2 linked regions of the Styela clava genome follow. The protein of the gene in region 1 binds, or shares a complex with, the protein of each later gene. Links are inferred from orthologs where the notes say so. Each region holds a gene or a part of one and is shown on either strand. Other genes may lie near its edges. The genes, in order: structural maintenance of chromosomes protein 5-like and non-structural maintenance of chromosomes element 4 homolog A-like.

Region 1 (8,221 bases):
GGTCTTTATTGACTTATTATTAAGGTCAATGGTTGAACTGGTACGTAACATTTTTACGATGAGAGACAAAGAAAAACAGTAGGCTACAAAACTTCAGTATTGCTAACCTGACACTTTGAAGATTGCTGCACCGGTCCAAAAAATCTTTCATGAGATAGGCAATTTTGAGTTCTGTTTATTAAATGGCCATAATTTCCGAATTGTATTTTCGAACTTCACAATATTATTCAAAATTATTATGACGTGCTCACGACAGGAGTAAATTTGTACACTGTATGATTTTCAGCTAATTGTTGGACCAATGAATCATTTTGTTTAACAATGGCGTTCCTTGTGTTGTAGTTCAGACAAAAAGATAGTTCTGGCCGACGAATCGCTTTTCAATTTTCCGTAAGATAATTATGCCAGAGTATGCCAGAAACATTGTTATACCTTTCCTTATTTTTTGAAGGAAGGGGGGGGGTGCTAGTTTCGAAAAAAATGTCACCAGCACCTTTGTTTTCAGACTGGACGAATTTCTCTGGCTAGCATAAACGCACGTATTGAGAATAGTGCTCATAGACGTATCATAAGATCTAGGTAAGTCTTCTATTTCGTAAATCATAGAAGTGATGAAAGGAAGTTAACCACAATAATGTGGAACCAGCTGTGGTAATTTATATTGTATTATTGCATATTTTGGTATTCTCAACTTATCTGTTTACTGGCAACAGTAATTTGTCTGACGAGTCATACTCGACTTGCTTTTATCTGAGTCATGTTTTGTTGGTGCTTTATCATTTCATTGTGAACTGCTTTAAGGTGCTGCTAACGTTTAAGTTAATTAAAGCCTAGTATTTGTGGATGGATTTGTTTGTGAAGTAATAAACAGAACTTAGGTTACAACAATTTAATTAACTTAAACATGGATAGACTATTCAAGCCAGAACCGCTGGAGTTGGATCCAGAAGCTGCCAGAACTTAGACAGAACTTAGGTTACAACACCAGCGATTTCTTCTTTTTTCGAAAAGAAAATGAGCTATAGAACTTCCGTCGGCATAGTCTGGGCATGAAGGCTTTTGGGCTGGATTCCAGACTTGTCGGCCTAATCCGTATAAACAAAAAAATATATATATAAAATTTGCTTCAAAAATAAAATATATATATATATAAAATTTGTTACATTGAATACTAAAAATACATAATTCATTGGCGTTACGCGTTGTTCAGGGTTTCAAACTTTGAGACAAGCTCTATCATTACTTTTGACCGCGCATGTCACTCTCCTATCGTCTGGAAGTTTGAATTGATTGTATTGTCTACTAAAATCGTTGTTTTTATTGAATTTTGAAAATTTTAAACAGATAACTATATTCTAAGCTTATTTCCTCCTTTCGATTTTCATACCATTCAGAAGTGAAAACATATGGAGGCTTTGAAATACACTGTCCCAAAATATCCCCGGCAGACAATTTTGGCCTCGCTTAGCAGTTATTGCTCACCGTATTTATTCGAATATGACGCGCACTCTGCATAACGCGCTGCATTACCTTCTTATTACAAATTAGTTTATTTTTTAATTTGATCCATGTATATATATATATATATTACACGCGTATACCGCGCACTCTCAAATCTAGCACTGCAATAGGCTTGTTAGATTATGATCGTAATCTGTGTAAGTTGTATTTTAGGTTGCCACAGACATTCATTATATAGGACGTTAACAAAACTTTACGTTTTCTCGCCCACTCGATTCGACAGCGTGCATTTCACACCTCTTTCTTTCGCCTCGTGCACTTGTTGTGTGTGTTCACGTGTAACTTTCCACCTACATGGCCCGCCGGTATCGGTGGGGAAAACTACCTTGCCCACCCCTGCTATAGATATTTATAAAACTTTAATCGCGGAAGCCAGCACTCTTACCGAAAAGTATTCCTTCCCACTTTTAGTCGATAGAAACCTTAACCTTGCTTTGAGCAAATAAAGTGTGTTCTTCGATTCCCTGCGTTATTATGCTGCTTATTTTTTAGATTTCTGCTTCAATTATAATTTTCTAGTTCAGATCAGTTTCAAACGTGAGTAACTAAGCTTATTCACATTACGCTATATCTGTAGCGACATGTTTTAACGATTAAATATGATCGACAGCACTGTAAAATTCTGATTTTGCCAGATGCAAAGCCACGCTATATATTCAACATTCTGATGACAGAAGTAGAAAACCTTATCATTCAGCAGAAAGGCGTAGATTGATCCAATAAATATAGAGCAACAAATACCTGTTCAACTTTTAGAGCAGTCATATGAAGAAGAGGAAACGAGATGCTTGGAGTCAGCAAAGGATAGTGACGTCTACTCCTGTGGAAAATATATCAGTCGAAATAATGACTCAGCAGGCGATCCCAGGATAATAAAATAATAACAAAGAGTCAGTCACATATTCAAATTTGTGGAATACATTAGATTTTCAGGCAGCAAAGTTTTTAATCAAATAAAGATTCGATTACTATTGTGTGTTATTCGTGTCGTGACTAGAAATTTGTGTGGAGTCGGCAGAACCCCATGCCAGTGTGGCAATCTCACTTGTGATAACAGAGCTCAAATACGTGTTACTACAATCTAATCAATATGTCTCTTGATTGTACACTGTTATGTACCACGATTGAACCAATTAGAATTTTTTTTATTGTAGCAATCAAATGTGCGTTTCCACACTTCTTTCTGGTTTTATGAAAAATTCGTTAGACTGTATCACACCTCTTAAACCGGGTATTTTACTTCTAGATTCTAGGTGCAAAATTTGTATAATTTTTAAATTAACATTTACACTACAGAAACTCTAAATACTTGCGCTTCAAAATTAAAGCAGGAATTTCTAATTCGCACAGCCACAGCCTGTCTGTTGCTTAAACAGTGGAATTCTCATGGCTAAGCTTACATACCTATAACGTATAACTCTCATACAAACCTCGCAACAGATAATCCAATATTTTTTCAACATGTATTGTACATTACAACTCGCTTCACACACGTATATTCACGCTTTTTAGCATTGCTATGTATAACTCAAAAAGCACTGGGAAAGTACCGAAAACTTGTTGCTCTTTATTACCGTTGGTGGTTGGAATTTTGATTTGATTTTGCACATCAGTAGTTGTAGACGAATGATTGAAAAAAATAAAGAAACAAACAAACCGCAAAGGGCGCAAAACTGTCAACCGTGACGTCGTCCTGCGGGAGTTGGTTTGTTTTCTTCACCTCGTTTTGACAGTTCAGCTTCGGGATTTTTCCGCGGAAGTCTTTCCGGAGGAGGTTTATTTAGTGATATAGATATCTTGTTTCTTGTTGTAGTTTAAGTGTTAATTATTTTGCTAACTGTAAATATGTCTAGTTATTTGTTGGTAGGTTTTGCGGCTTGAAAGTGGTTTTACACATGCATTCGTCCAGTTGTTAGTGCACGCTTATTTTGCCCACGCTCGGCAGTTTGTCTATTCACCGTTTTCAGGTTCTGTATAAGTATAAGTTTATTTCGACTCCATAATCAGCAATAGACGATAAGAAATAGATAAAAGTAACTGATTATAGAATCGGGAAAGCGAACAAAACCTAGAGTAAGGTTTGAAACGTACAGATTTTAGATGGAAAGGTATTGATAAAAGAAGCAGTACGTGTTCTCTCACCCAAAGTTCGGTTCTGTGTCTGAGTGCCGTACTTCAGCACCGTTACTGGGGTTTTTAATTTAATAATATATGTTTTTTAATTAAAATTGATGAAACTTTGGTGATTTTAAAATTTAATTTAGTCTTACCTTTCTATCTGGGAGTGATCAAAATGCTGAAATGATAAAATTCGTGTGGAATTAATGGATTATGTGATTCTTTGGTTTGTGGGGAATATTTAACACCAGTAGTGTACTAGTTGGGCTACTTTTGTATGTTTTGCTGGGTTCCATGTATTACTTGAGTAAATCTCTTTGAGTACCAATATATTGAGTTAGAGCTGACACCTATGATGATTTTATAAAATTTTTGAATTACTGAATAAGGAATTTTCAATCTGACTGTTATTATGTTCTATGATTCACATTTCCTGCGTTGATGCTTCTATTTTCCATTCATTTTCATATAGGATATGTTTATGTTATTCATTCATGAGGCACTATCCTATTGCAGTATTGCTGTATTGTTACGTCACCATTAATTTTCCGATTTCTTCTCTTTGATTCTGTTCATGTTAGGTTTGGATAAGTTCGATTATTGCCTTTTTGTGTTCATCCTAACTTAAAATGAAAATGGATCAGAAAATGAACAGATAATTAAAGAGTATTTGCATTTGCCAAATATTTTGTTATTAAAATTTGATTTTCTCAAGAGCAGTCGAAATTTTCATTTTTTCAACCTAGAGTCGAGCTCTTAAAAATGTTCCCCAATTTTATAGTCTCGGTCTAAACTAGATGCGTGCAACATTTTTTATCGGTGGGCCATAAAACCAACTTCATCTAGCTGGGCCACACAAACAATTTAGGTAACCATGTACACATCGAACCAAAAAATTTCCACAATAGAAAATTTTGATTGAGTAGCACTTTGAAATTTTGAGTTCTTGCATAATTTGTTAACATCAGCTTTAACAAAAGTTGTAACATAAATTGTCGGATTAGATTTTTGGGCTTGATATGAAAAAATCTTGACAAGGCACACTCCTGTTATGAAACGTTTTCAAAAGGGGAGGAATTCTTTTCCAGGAAGGATTTTTGCCATTTTTGGGGAGTACTTTTGCTTTGTATTCACTGTGGTATTACTAATTTTTTTTTTTTAGTACGATAAATAGTACTTGTTCACGAACACATAATAAACTGTGCAGAAACACAGTTGTGTGTGAGTTGCGTACTAGCAAAGGATCCATTGATGATTGAACAAATAAAGTAGTTTTATGCTTAGGAGGGAGGAAAAAAGAATTCCAAAATATCCACATGAAGAGATTCAACAGAAAAGCTTGAGTATCATTAAACAGTTACCGTAAATTTCATCAGGACCCATTACCAGTTGTCTAATATTGTGTTTATGTCCATCATTCTCTTTGTAAACAGAATTTGGTTTACCATTAGGCTAAAAGCAGTCATGGAAGATGATGAGTCGTACGTCGTTGGTTCTGGACAGAGTAACAGGAAGTCGAAGAAAAAATTTACTCATGGATCAATCGTCAGAATTGCTGCGAAAGATTTTTTGTACGATCAAAATTTTTGTATCTTTGCGTAGAAAAACTTTAATTAATAAACGTGTTTTGAGTATGAAATAATAAAGTTGCTACTAAAATCTGACTGAGAACAGACTGTGAAATTAATAGGAATCGTGTAGAAATGAAAAAAGAACCAGGAGTGTGGAATTTGAATTTGTTTTTACTTGAGCCAGTATCATATTTTTAAACTTCCTGGGTGGAAGTAAAAATTCTGAATTTTTTGATTGATTTTCTCAGATTTCGGAGCTGGAATTCTGGAGCTTAGTCCTGAGTCGGAGACAGCTACAGCCCTTGTCTTGCATTGATTTTATTATTTGAATTTATTTTTTAATTCCATATCTATTTCAGAACATATGACAGCTTCCAGTTCTCGTTGAATCCAAAGTTGAATGTCATTATTGGTCCAAATGGCACCGGTAAATCCAGCATTGTTTGTGCAATATGTCTAGGATTGGGTGGAAAGACAAACTACCTCGCTAGAGCCAAAGATGTCGGAGAATATATTAAATATGGACAAACCAAAGCAATCATCGAAATTGAACTGTAAGTGAAGAATCGTTACTTTTCCATTAATTTGACCTGGATATCGATGAAGCGTAAGAAGCGGGAAGAGTGAATACTTGAGCAAACGAGACTGAAAATTTTGAGCAATTTTTTTTTTGCGGCATCATACTGGAACAGTACCAAATTTAATTTACATAAAAAAAAACTGAATATTTAAATTTAATTTAATCGAAAATTATTATCTACATAATTGTTTTAAATCAGAGTCTATAGCATGCTGTTTACGGTATTTTTGTATGGGGTTTAAAATCATTGCTACTACATAGGGTATCCTACCCTTGGAAGAATTTATATTCTGCAGTACAATATTTTGTGCTCCCCCCTGCTAGGTAATTCATCTTTTCCTGTAATCCCTCTGTTTTTAACATTTAACAGATATGATGAACCTAAAAACATCCTAATCTGTCGTGAAATAGTAAAGCACACAAATTCAAATAAATCAACAACTTCATGGTACAGGGACGGAGTATTGGTAAGTATACTCAGAGTATTCTACCATTTATGGTAAATAAAATAAAATCTAACTTTGATATTCAATCAGGTATCAGCGAAAATTATTGAAGAGACTGTAAGCGGCTTGAACATTCAACTTTCCAATCTATGTCAGTTTCTTCCGCAAGAAAAAGTTGCTGATTTTGCGAAAATGAATAAAATTGAGCTTCTGGAGAATACTGAACTGGCGGTAAGTAATTCATTTATTTGGCATAGTTTCTTGAAAAATTGTATTTTTCGGTATTCTATCTTTTGCTTTAAGCAAGATTACACACTAACGTAAAAGTAAAGGACACTCATCTTGAACAACATTACAGCAGAGCACTGAAAATTCAAGTGAAATCTGTAATAGAATTTTAATGTTATATTTGATACCAATTTAAAGAGTTTTTCAAACGGTGACCTATTGATTAAAAGATTCTGTGGATTCACAATGTTAGCATTGCAGGTTTAAGTTCGGTAAATCAAAAACTCACTCATGGCCACTATCTTAACCAGGATGTAATAAATAAGGTAGCCTACTCTATTAGTGTGTATACCAGGTTAGGGTTAGGCCATAATTTTATTCCGATTTTCCTTATTTTAGTTTTATTACGAGCTCGAGGACTGTCTGTGTTAGCCAAGTGAATATACCCTGCCATAGGTTTCAGTCCCTTTACACAACTTGATGTTCCAAATTGGTACATACACTTCTGGAACGCCAGATTCTGGTCCTTCCATGATATAGTAGTAGCTTACACAGATCCTTGTTCAGAGGGAAAGACATTAAACATCAGAAAAAAAATAAATCATCGCTGTTGAATAAGTACTATCTTGGTTTTATTCAGTCCTTCGAGACTGATGTGGAAACGCACACTGGCCTAACCAACGTCTCATGATGCAACCGAGTCCTTCCATTGTAAAAATTAAACTTGTGTATATCGAGTTACTAGATTGAATAGAGTTGGAATCCTTTTCTGTACCATGTTTGTATACTGGAACAGGCATTCATTGTGTTTGTTTTCAATTCCATAAGATCTGAATGGCATATTGATATTTTTTTCAACTCCTCATTAATAATAAAACTTTCGAAATATAAGAATCAGTTTTTAGGCTTATGACTCTTGTATAAGGAATCTTTTATTGAAAAAAGTTCACACAGTTTTCTGTTCGTTTTGTTCAACAAAAGTACTTTAGTGTGACTGAAAAAATTCAAACTATTTTGATTTAAAGTTATGGGTCTTCTAGTAGTTGGGAAAAGTAGGTTTTGTTTCCAACATTGTCATATTTAATAAACAATTCATAGACGTAATTGGCATCCTTGTGCAATAACAAGTTTTTGTATTGAATATCCTTATACAGCTTTATTAGGTACGATTTCAAAGTCAATTAACAAAGGTCTTTATTAAAATGATCCTAATCTAAACATTCGGATGATTGGGCAACCTAGATAATATAAAAGTTCTGGAACAACCTATTCGGTAGAGATAAATTCCCAGTTTGAAATTATTCTATTGAAACATTTTGCGATTAAGGCCTTTTCGGCACACAATCCATGGCTGTCATTCTTCAGATATGCCACTGGTAACATTTACGGTCCATTCGAGTTTTATGTAACAACAAAAATTAATTGTAGATTTTGTTTATCTTTAATTTATACTTCTTTTAAAACAATCTTAATTTCAAAAGTCGATGATTAGTTATCGCAGGTTAAATACTATAGAAATATATATTAATGTCAGTTGTGTATTCTCCTTTTGAAACAATACAATTTGTTTGCTGTTATAACATTTAATTTATACTGTATTTAAGTTGGTATTCCAGTTATTTCGAAATAGGCTTCAGTGTTAGTAGTGAATTTATCCCTCACTTTGCACACAAAGAACTCTCGAAGAGTGAAAAATACAAACCTCAAATTCTAGTTAATCATTAACTTTACCAAATACCAAGCTAAAAGTACACAAA
Region 2 (7,806 bases), on another chromosome or scaffold:
GTTCAAAACTTCTTCTAATTTGTTATAAACATTTCGACGTAATATATTACCCAGGTAGTAACAATCGCATCGTTATAAACAATCTAATTTGTCTTCTGGCAATATCAGTTCGAAATTCCAGTTTTAATTGTTATCGGACGACGATTTTAATAATGTAATTTGGCCTATGACTTCATATAAACTACATAACAGAAACAATTGACTTATGTCGTATAGAATCTTTTATAATACGTATCCAAGTCACATTATCCCCTAATAGAACATAATTTACCGTTCACAAAATTTATAAAAGCCTGTGCAAAATCTATATTGACAACCAGCGGTGTTCAACCACGGCTACAATATAGATATTCAATCACTTGCTGTTGCTGTTGTATAATATTCTTTACAACCTGAAGATCTGACTGTAATATCTTTTCATGGATAGTTTATGGAATGGATTTCATGGATAGTTTACGTAGAATTATTTGTACATTATTTCATGCTGTAACAGCTAACTGTAAAACACGTAGTTCCTAAATAAGAAGAATGGCTACAGGATGGTAAATACGAGATGGCAATGTCACCTAAACAAAATTCGCTCGGCAAATGACATCAGGTAGCTGATATGCCCAAAGTTAGGCTTAAAAGCATCGTTAAACGAATGTTACAATAAAAATCCTTTAATATTCAACACGCCAGTAGTCAGTCAACGAATTTTTTTGCGTTATTCAAAAAGTTACAAATATATAAAAACGTAAAACAGTAATTGTTTTTAATGTCACAGAAGCCGTATTAAACTCTCGATTATAGATCTTTCTCCATCAGTAATCGGGGATATAAATTTGAATTTAAATTTATTAAGGAGATAAAACATTAAAAACACAACTTCACAATGGAAGTGTATGAGTGAACACTAATCGAAGCTTTCAATTTTAAAATTATTAGAAATATTGAGTATCCAATGAAAATCCTTACTATTTGTTCTATTTTGACATGATATGATTTACGTATCTTGCAATTAGGTAAAACCACAGATCTAAGAATTGAAAATTTTAAATGTCAGTTCTGAAATTAAACATGAAAAGATTTTGTGTATATTTTGCTACTTTTATATGTCGGGCGTATAGTGTCTTCATGTCGCGAATGAGCATCAGAATAGGTTGTGCAGAAAATGGTGCTCCCGTAGTATGTGCACAAAGTTGGCACACAACCCGAACATAGTATGTGTACCAAGATAGAGGTATTAGGTTGTGCGCCATCTTGGAGCACATAGGCTACTACGGGAGCGCCCTGAAAATACCCACATTGGCAACACCGACTTACCGAATACAAATTTTACACTTCCACAATTTCGCTTTCGATACTTTCTCACATGTATCATGATAACAACGCTTGCAAACGCAGCATTGGTATTGTACGTGCTCCCGTATACATTTCGCACTTTAACAGACACTCCAATTATTATTTTCCAGAAAGCAAAATTCATGCATCGGAATGTCAGAGTATATGAGTGGCGACGATGCAGTGCGACAACGTTCCAAATGTGATTGAATTTTTGTTGACTCCGCCTTGTTCAATCTTCCATATGGGCGTTTTGAAGAGGTATGTACTCACTTCAAATATAAATACTTGCACCACCCTCGGGCAGACGTCGAATTGAAACTAGCGATAAGAATAGCACTCAATATACATCGGATTGTCTTAAAAAACATTTCAACGAGAAAGCAAAGTATAGTAAGTACTAAGTTCTGACGAAAATGATTTTATGAAAAGTATTGCAAAAATATATGGCAACTGTAATCGAAAAAAATGAAAAATCAGGCACTTGCGAAATTTGACCCCTCATCACAAGTCCCAATCGTTTTTCCTTTTTACCAAAAAAGACGGCATTTCAATCATACAAAAGAGTGTATATTTTAGTTTTCTGCTTCAAAGTAAGTATAAACATCGAGAAATAGGTTTTTACAAAGTGCCTGAAATTTCACAAGTGCCTGGTTTTAGTATTTTGTGATTGGAGTTGCCAGATTTTATCATTCCTATTCAATTTCAAATAAATCTAAAAAGTACGATGGTTATCTATATGTTGTCAAATAATATTGCTCATTGTAAAAACGCTGAAATTGTTGTAGAACTAGGAATTTATTTTAAAAAGCAATGATTAGTAAGTTCTGACTCAAATAATTTAGAAAAATTGTTGCGAAAATATATGGCAACTGTTATCGAAAAAAATGAAAAATCAGGCACTTGCGAAATTTGACCCCTCATCACCAGTCCCAATCGTTTTGTTTTTTACCAAAATGACGTCATTTCAATCCTAAAAAAGAGTGTATATTTTAGTTTTCTGCTTCAAAGTGTACAAAAACATCTAGAAATAGGTTTTTACGAAGTGCCTGAAATTTCACAAGTGCCTGGTTTTAGTATTTCGTGCTTGAGGTTGCCAGATTTTATTATTCATATTCAAATTCAAATAAATCCAGAAAGTATGATGGTTGACCATATGTTGTCAAATGGTATTGCTCATTGCAATATTAAAAACGCTCAAACTGTTGTGGAACAATGAATTTGCGTTAGAAAGCAAAGTATAGTAAGTGCTGACGCAAATAAAATTTTTGCGAAAATATATGGCAACTGTTATCGAAAAAAATGAAAAATCAGGCACTTGCGAAATTTGACCCCTCATCACCAGTCCCAATCGTGTTTGTTTTTTTACCAAAAAGACGTCATTTCAATCATAAAAAAGAGTTTATATTTTAGTTTTCTGCTTCAAAGTGTATAAAAACATCGAGAAATAGGTTTTTACGAAGTGCCTGAAATTTCACAAGTGCCTGGTTTTAGTATTTTGTGCTTGAGGTTGCCAGATTTTATTATTCATATTCAATTTCAAATAAATCCAGAAAGTACGATGATTGACCATATGTTGTCAAATGGTATTGCTCATTGCAATATTAAAAACGCTCAAATTGTTGTGGAACAATGAATTCGCGTTAGAAAGCAAAGAATAATAAGTGCTGACGCAAACAATTTAAGAAAATAATTGCGAAAAAATATGGCAACTGTCACCGAGAAAAATGAAAAATCAGGCACTTGCGAAATATGACATGTCTCCATCAGTCACAAACGGTATTGTATTTTACCAAAATGTTGTAAATTCAACCATACAAAGTGTATATATTTAATGTTCTGCTTTAGAGTAATCAGATACATTGTAAAATAGGTTTTGACCAAGTGCCTGAAATTTCACAAGTGCCTGATTTCTATATTTTGTAATCAATGTTGCCACATTTTACTATTGAAAAATTATTTATACCCTAATAAAGTGGAAATAATATTGTTTTATTGCAATATAGGGATGCAAAAAATTATTTAAAGTTCAATTATCTTGTCAGGTCAATTGGAAACCCCAATGACGTACGGTAAAAAAAAATATCAAAGTGCCTGAAATGGTGCCTGAAAAAGTGCCTGAATTCGCAAGTGCCTGGTTTTAGGGAGACCCTCCTTTGCGTGTCGAGTACCGTACGTTTTCTTGTCACTTTGTTATCCCTTGCACAGTATTCTAACCAAACACATTCAATTTATTATATTTGCCCTCACGATTGAAGTTGTAAGTAAAACAGCCACCTTTCCATCTCCCATTACAAGAAGACCCTTCGTGCAGTTGCAGGCATACCGGTACCGTACCCGTTAACCGCCGTCGCATGGCGAGTTAGCCTCCACCACCCCTTGTATTGAGTCTGTTCCGCACACATCTCATTCATGTATTCAGCTACCATTAGCAGAGGCAAGCCTATTACAAGTACTGATTTACATTATATACAGATAGGTACGGTACCGGTATAATTTAAAAGCGGGAGATCGATATTTAGCCCAATGCTCGAGACATAGATCAGACGTCGTCAGGTACCGGTACCGGTATCACAGTATTATACTGCGTGAACACCCCTATAAAATTTTAAACCCTCCTCTGTTTGTTAGCTCCTCAATTTCCGTTTTTTAATTCTAGGGTATGAGCTGATTGCATTTGCAAATTCATGCAGTCATTTGTCAACTTATGAACTCATCGCTCATGACGAAAAAAACCTCCACTTACTTGAATTACCGTATCATTCCCAACTACTAATCTGCTAATTGCATCTTGAAACTATACAAAGATACATGTTTTACTTAACTTTGTAGCCAAATTAGTTTAAGCATAAATTCAACCGTAAGACTCAGACTTTTTCTGTCTTCTGGTCATAGCCCAGTAGTCATATACCAGTATACCGTAACAGTATAATGATATACCGGTACCGCATGTATTCTTGTTTGCGATAGAATTTTTCATCAATTATAAAAATGCGTATTGAGGAAACTGGGTTCGCAGGGGGTTGAGAAGGCTTAAAATTCCTTGTATGCTATCTATTACTGTATCATTCATACATTCAAATTTTGTGAAAACTGTGCTAGTTGACGTGTAATGCACGAATTTTCTTGGCAAAATACTGCTTATAAATCCAGGGATTTTGTGCAAAATTTATAATATTTTAGTTTTGTTCATTTTTGAAAGAATTTTACAAACATGTTTTTTGAAATAAAATAAATATCACAATAATTAGGTCTATGTAAAACAGAAGTTTTGGTAGGAAAACTGACATTTTGAGTTGGTACATGTGTTTTCAATTAATGTATCATTCTATGAGTTTTATAAAAATCAATATACATATATAATACATAATAATATTTGCATTAATAAATTATTTTATACTTCTTGTTCTTGGACTTGCTTATTCTTTGTTTTAAGTTGGAGAATTTGGTTATTGTCTGATTTGGAAAGTTTGATATAATTGATATGCCAATAGTAGTAAGATAATCACATTATTTTTACTATAAGGATTGGTGCCTATTTGACTATATCAATTCAATGTTGTTTTAGGTTATAGTCCTAGAATACAGTGTATATCTCATCAAAATAGACATGGCAGAAAACGGAGATGAAGAGATGGAGATTTCATCTCTATCAAGCAAATTTATGACACCTATCCAACGTGCAGAAAGGTTGAAGATTCGACAAGAATACAGAAAACTGATCAGTGAAGTCCAAGACAAAAAGGAAGAATTTGTAAAACCAGAAAGTGGAGATTTATTGGATCGTGTCAAAAAAGCAAACTCTCTATTTCAAAGGGTGAAATCAACGAGGGAGGGAGCTTTAGATTCACGGTTTATGGCATTATCAGTGTCTATTGCGGGGCAAACAACAAATCAACTTCAAACAGATCTTGTGGCATTTCAACCTGAGGAATTCATGGAAAAATTAGTGACCAGAATGGATGGGCGTTATATTGGTGAAGAAGAAGATGAAGTTCATATCACTTCAGAAGGATGGGAAAATTTCGGACAATATTCCTCTAAATTTTTTTCTAGCGTGAACCCTGTATTGAATGTTATGTCTGGTACATTTGAGCACAGTGCACTAAGAAGGCGACACACACAGTCTGACCCCATAGATAACGATACAGGGACTAAAACACAGCCGCAGCACCTTACACATTTCGAGGGGGATCGAAAAGAAGCCACACCAGAAGAAATTGAAAGAGTGCTTGGAGTGATTCAACAAATGTATGAACAAGATCCAGTCCCAATAGACTATTTTGAACTTGTTGTAAATCCGGATTCTTTTGGTCATACTATTGAAAACATGTTTCACATGGCATTTCTCGTCAAAGATGGCTTTGTTCGTGTGTTTTTAAATGAAAATCAAATACCAGTTGTTGAGCCAGTCAACCAAAATGAGGAAGATAATACTCAAACCGAAAAAAAATGTAATCAAGTCATGGTATCAATGTCAATGGATGAGTGGAGGGAAATTATTGATATTTATGAACTAGGAGGAAGAGCTCCATTCATAGAACCTTCAGAGCCTAAAAGCCCTGAGAGAGCTAATGGTCCATCATCAAAAAGAGTTAGAAGCTGAGTACCTCAGTGCTAAAACTTATGACTGAGTATGAGCTGAAAAATGATGTGATATCACATTTGAAATTTAAAGGCAGTTGTGAGCTTAAAATCGCAACCCTTGTGTTCAACTATGTTTCATCATCTTCTAAGTGTGTTACATAGCATGAGTTGGGTGATCCTGGACTGTAGTAGTTTGCCACATACAGTAGGACCAAGGTAATTTGGTATCTGATCATCTGATGCTATTTGATCAGTATCAATAAGTCATCTAGATTGATTTTTATCATAGATTTTGATAAGTGCTTTTATCCTTGTGTATGAACTATTCAGAGATAGAATGTAATACTTGGAATATTGTTTCAAAGATTGTCTTTTTGATTCTTGTATGTTAATGTGTATCTGATTTTCCTATGAATCGGCCGATTTCATGATGAACTATAGAGTGAGATTTTCATTGATTTGTAATGCAGAGTCCAAATAAAATATGAAATAATTCTTATGATAAATATGAAATTCTTAATTCTAAACATACCGTGATAAATTGTGCACTTATCGTCTGAATGAGTTGTCCAATTCCATGTGGTATTTCTATCAACCAATGGGTGGACTGGAACTGAATCAATTGGGGCACACTTGACCTAGACGTTTTTAATTAATACAAAAGCAATGATTTCAGGTGAATTTATCATCCAATTTGACATGAAAACTATAAACATTTGATTGTCGTGTTCGATTGGCATACAGGCAGGCCATGGATAGAAGCTATTGTTGTGCTGAATGAATCACTATGTAGCCTATATTGTTGACATAGTTTTTTTACCTTTGGCTGCAAGTCTATATCATGCCCAAAATATCACACCTTTTATACATTGGCCTGATTTGAGTTATGTTTTAGTATCTTTACTCCAATCCTGCATTTGAAGGGGTGAAATGGGTTATCTTTTCAATATCTTTACTGCAAGTTTGCGTTCGAAGGGATGAAATGGCCACTTTTTTATTAATAAATTTTGGAATCATTTTCTTTTCTCATAATTCTATCGTTTTTACTCTTCATGATACTCTAGTATTTTCATACCATTTGGGGCAAAGGTTGTAACCATTTGTTGAGTTTTTATAACATTGAAAACATTTTTGTGATCACGTACCATGAGAGTCAGTAGACCGAGCACTCAATTATTCACATTGTCCCAAAGAAGATTGTCAACCGATGATATCTTTTTATTGTCAGCAGACCGGCATCGTCCTTTTTTATGATCGACGAAATATACAAACACAAACGAAGAAACCCATAGCATTGCATTGCTAGTAAATTATTGGCCTTCAACTTCACAATTACGTGTTTCGCCGAGCCATAAGGTTGTGTTTCAGAATAGACTCGATTGAGTTTAGGCGTTGCGTTTATTGCACAGATTCTTGTTATGGGCGACTGATGACCCAAATCGCCAATTTTTAATACTAAAAAAGCAGGCTCTCTTGGGGAGAGACTCTCTCTCTCTCTCTATAAAATAATGCATATTAAAATTGCATGTATTGTCAGCACAGTCTTATGCAATTGTTTGTTTCACACTGAATGGATTCTAATGGCAATGGGAGAGCGAGATTTCTTATTATGTCAACCAAACAATAGTCAGGCGTGTTTGACATTTTATTTTCATGGAGACTCTAAACTTGAGATAGCGTTGGTGTATTGAGAAACTTGCGTATGAATGAATGCTTTTTGTGGTTTCTCAGATTTGGGCAAGAGCTCATGCGGAACTAAGCATCTAAGGGGCAGCAGTAAAGCTTATTCAGGACGCCAAGCCTTTTCGTTGGGAAATTTAGGAGCGTGATGCTATATATTTCAAATGAATGACCATTTAGAAATCGTTTTTGGCGCTTTCTCGTGACATCCTTACC

The links.
Region 2: structural maintenance of chromosomes protein 5-like (region 1) and non-structural maintenance of chromosomes element 4 homolog A-like share a complex: the UniProt entries of both Homo sapiens proteins name them as parts of the SMC5-SMC6 complex. The link is inferred for Styela clava from reciprocal best matches to the Homo sapiens genes SMC5 and NSMCE4A.

The regions. Positions count from the first base shown.
Region 1 is NC_135250.1:26,787,889-26,796,109, reverse strand, and holds the start of structural maintenance of chromosomes protein 5-like, read left to right. Parts: upstream 1-5,051; 5' UTR 5,052-5,103; coding exon 5,104-5,210; intron 5,211-5,569; coding exon 5,570-5,764; intron 5,765-6,160; coding exon 6,161-6,257; intron 6,258-6,326; coding exon 6,327-6,467; intron 6,468-8,221. UniProt on the Homo sapiens protein: Core component of the SMC5-SMC6 complex, a complex involved in repair of DNA double-strand breaks by homologous recombination.
Region 2 is NC_135257.1:6,221,722-6,229,527, forward strand, and holds non-structural maintenance of chromosomes element 4 homolog A-like, read left to right. Parts: upstream 1-4,873; 5' UTR 4,874-4,933; coding exon 4,934-5,929; 3' UTR 5,930-7,195; downstream 7,196-7,806. UniProt on the Homo sapiens protein: Component of the SMC5-SMC6 complex, a complex involved in DNA double-strand breaks by homologous recombination. The complex may promote sister chromatid homologous recombination by recruiting the SMC1-SMC3 cohesin complex to double-strand breaks.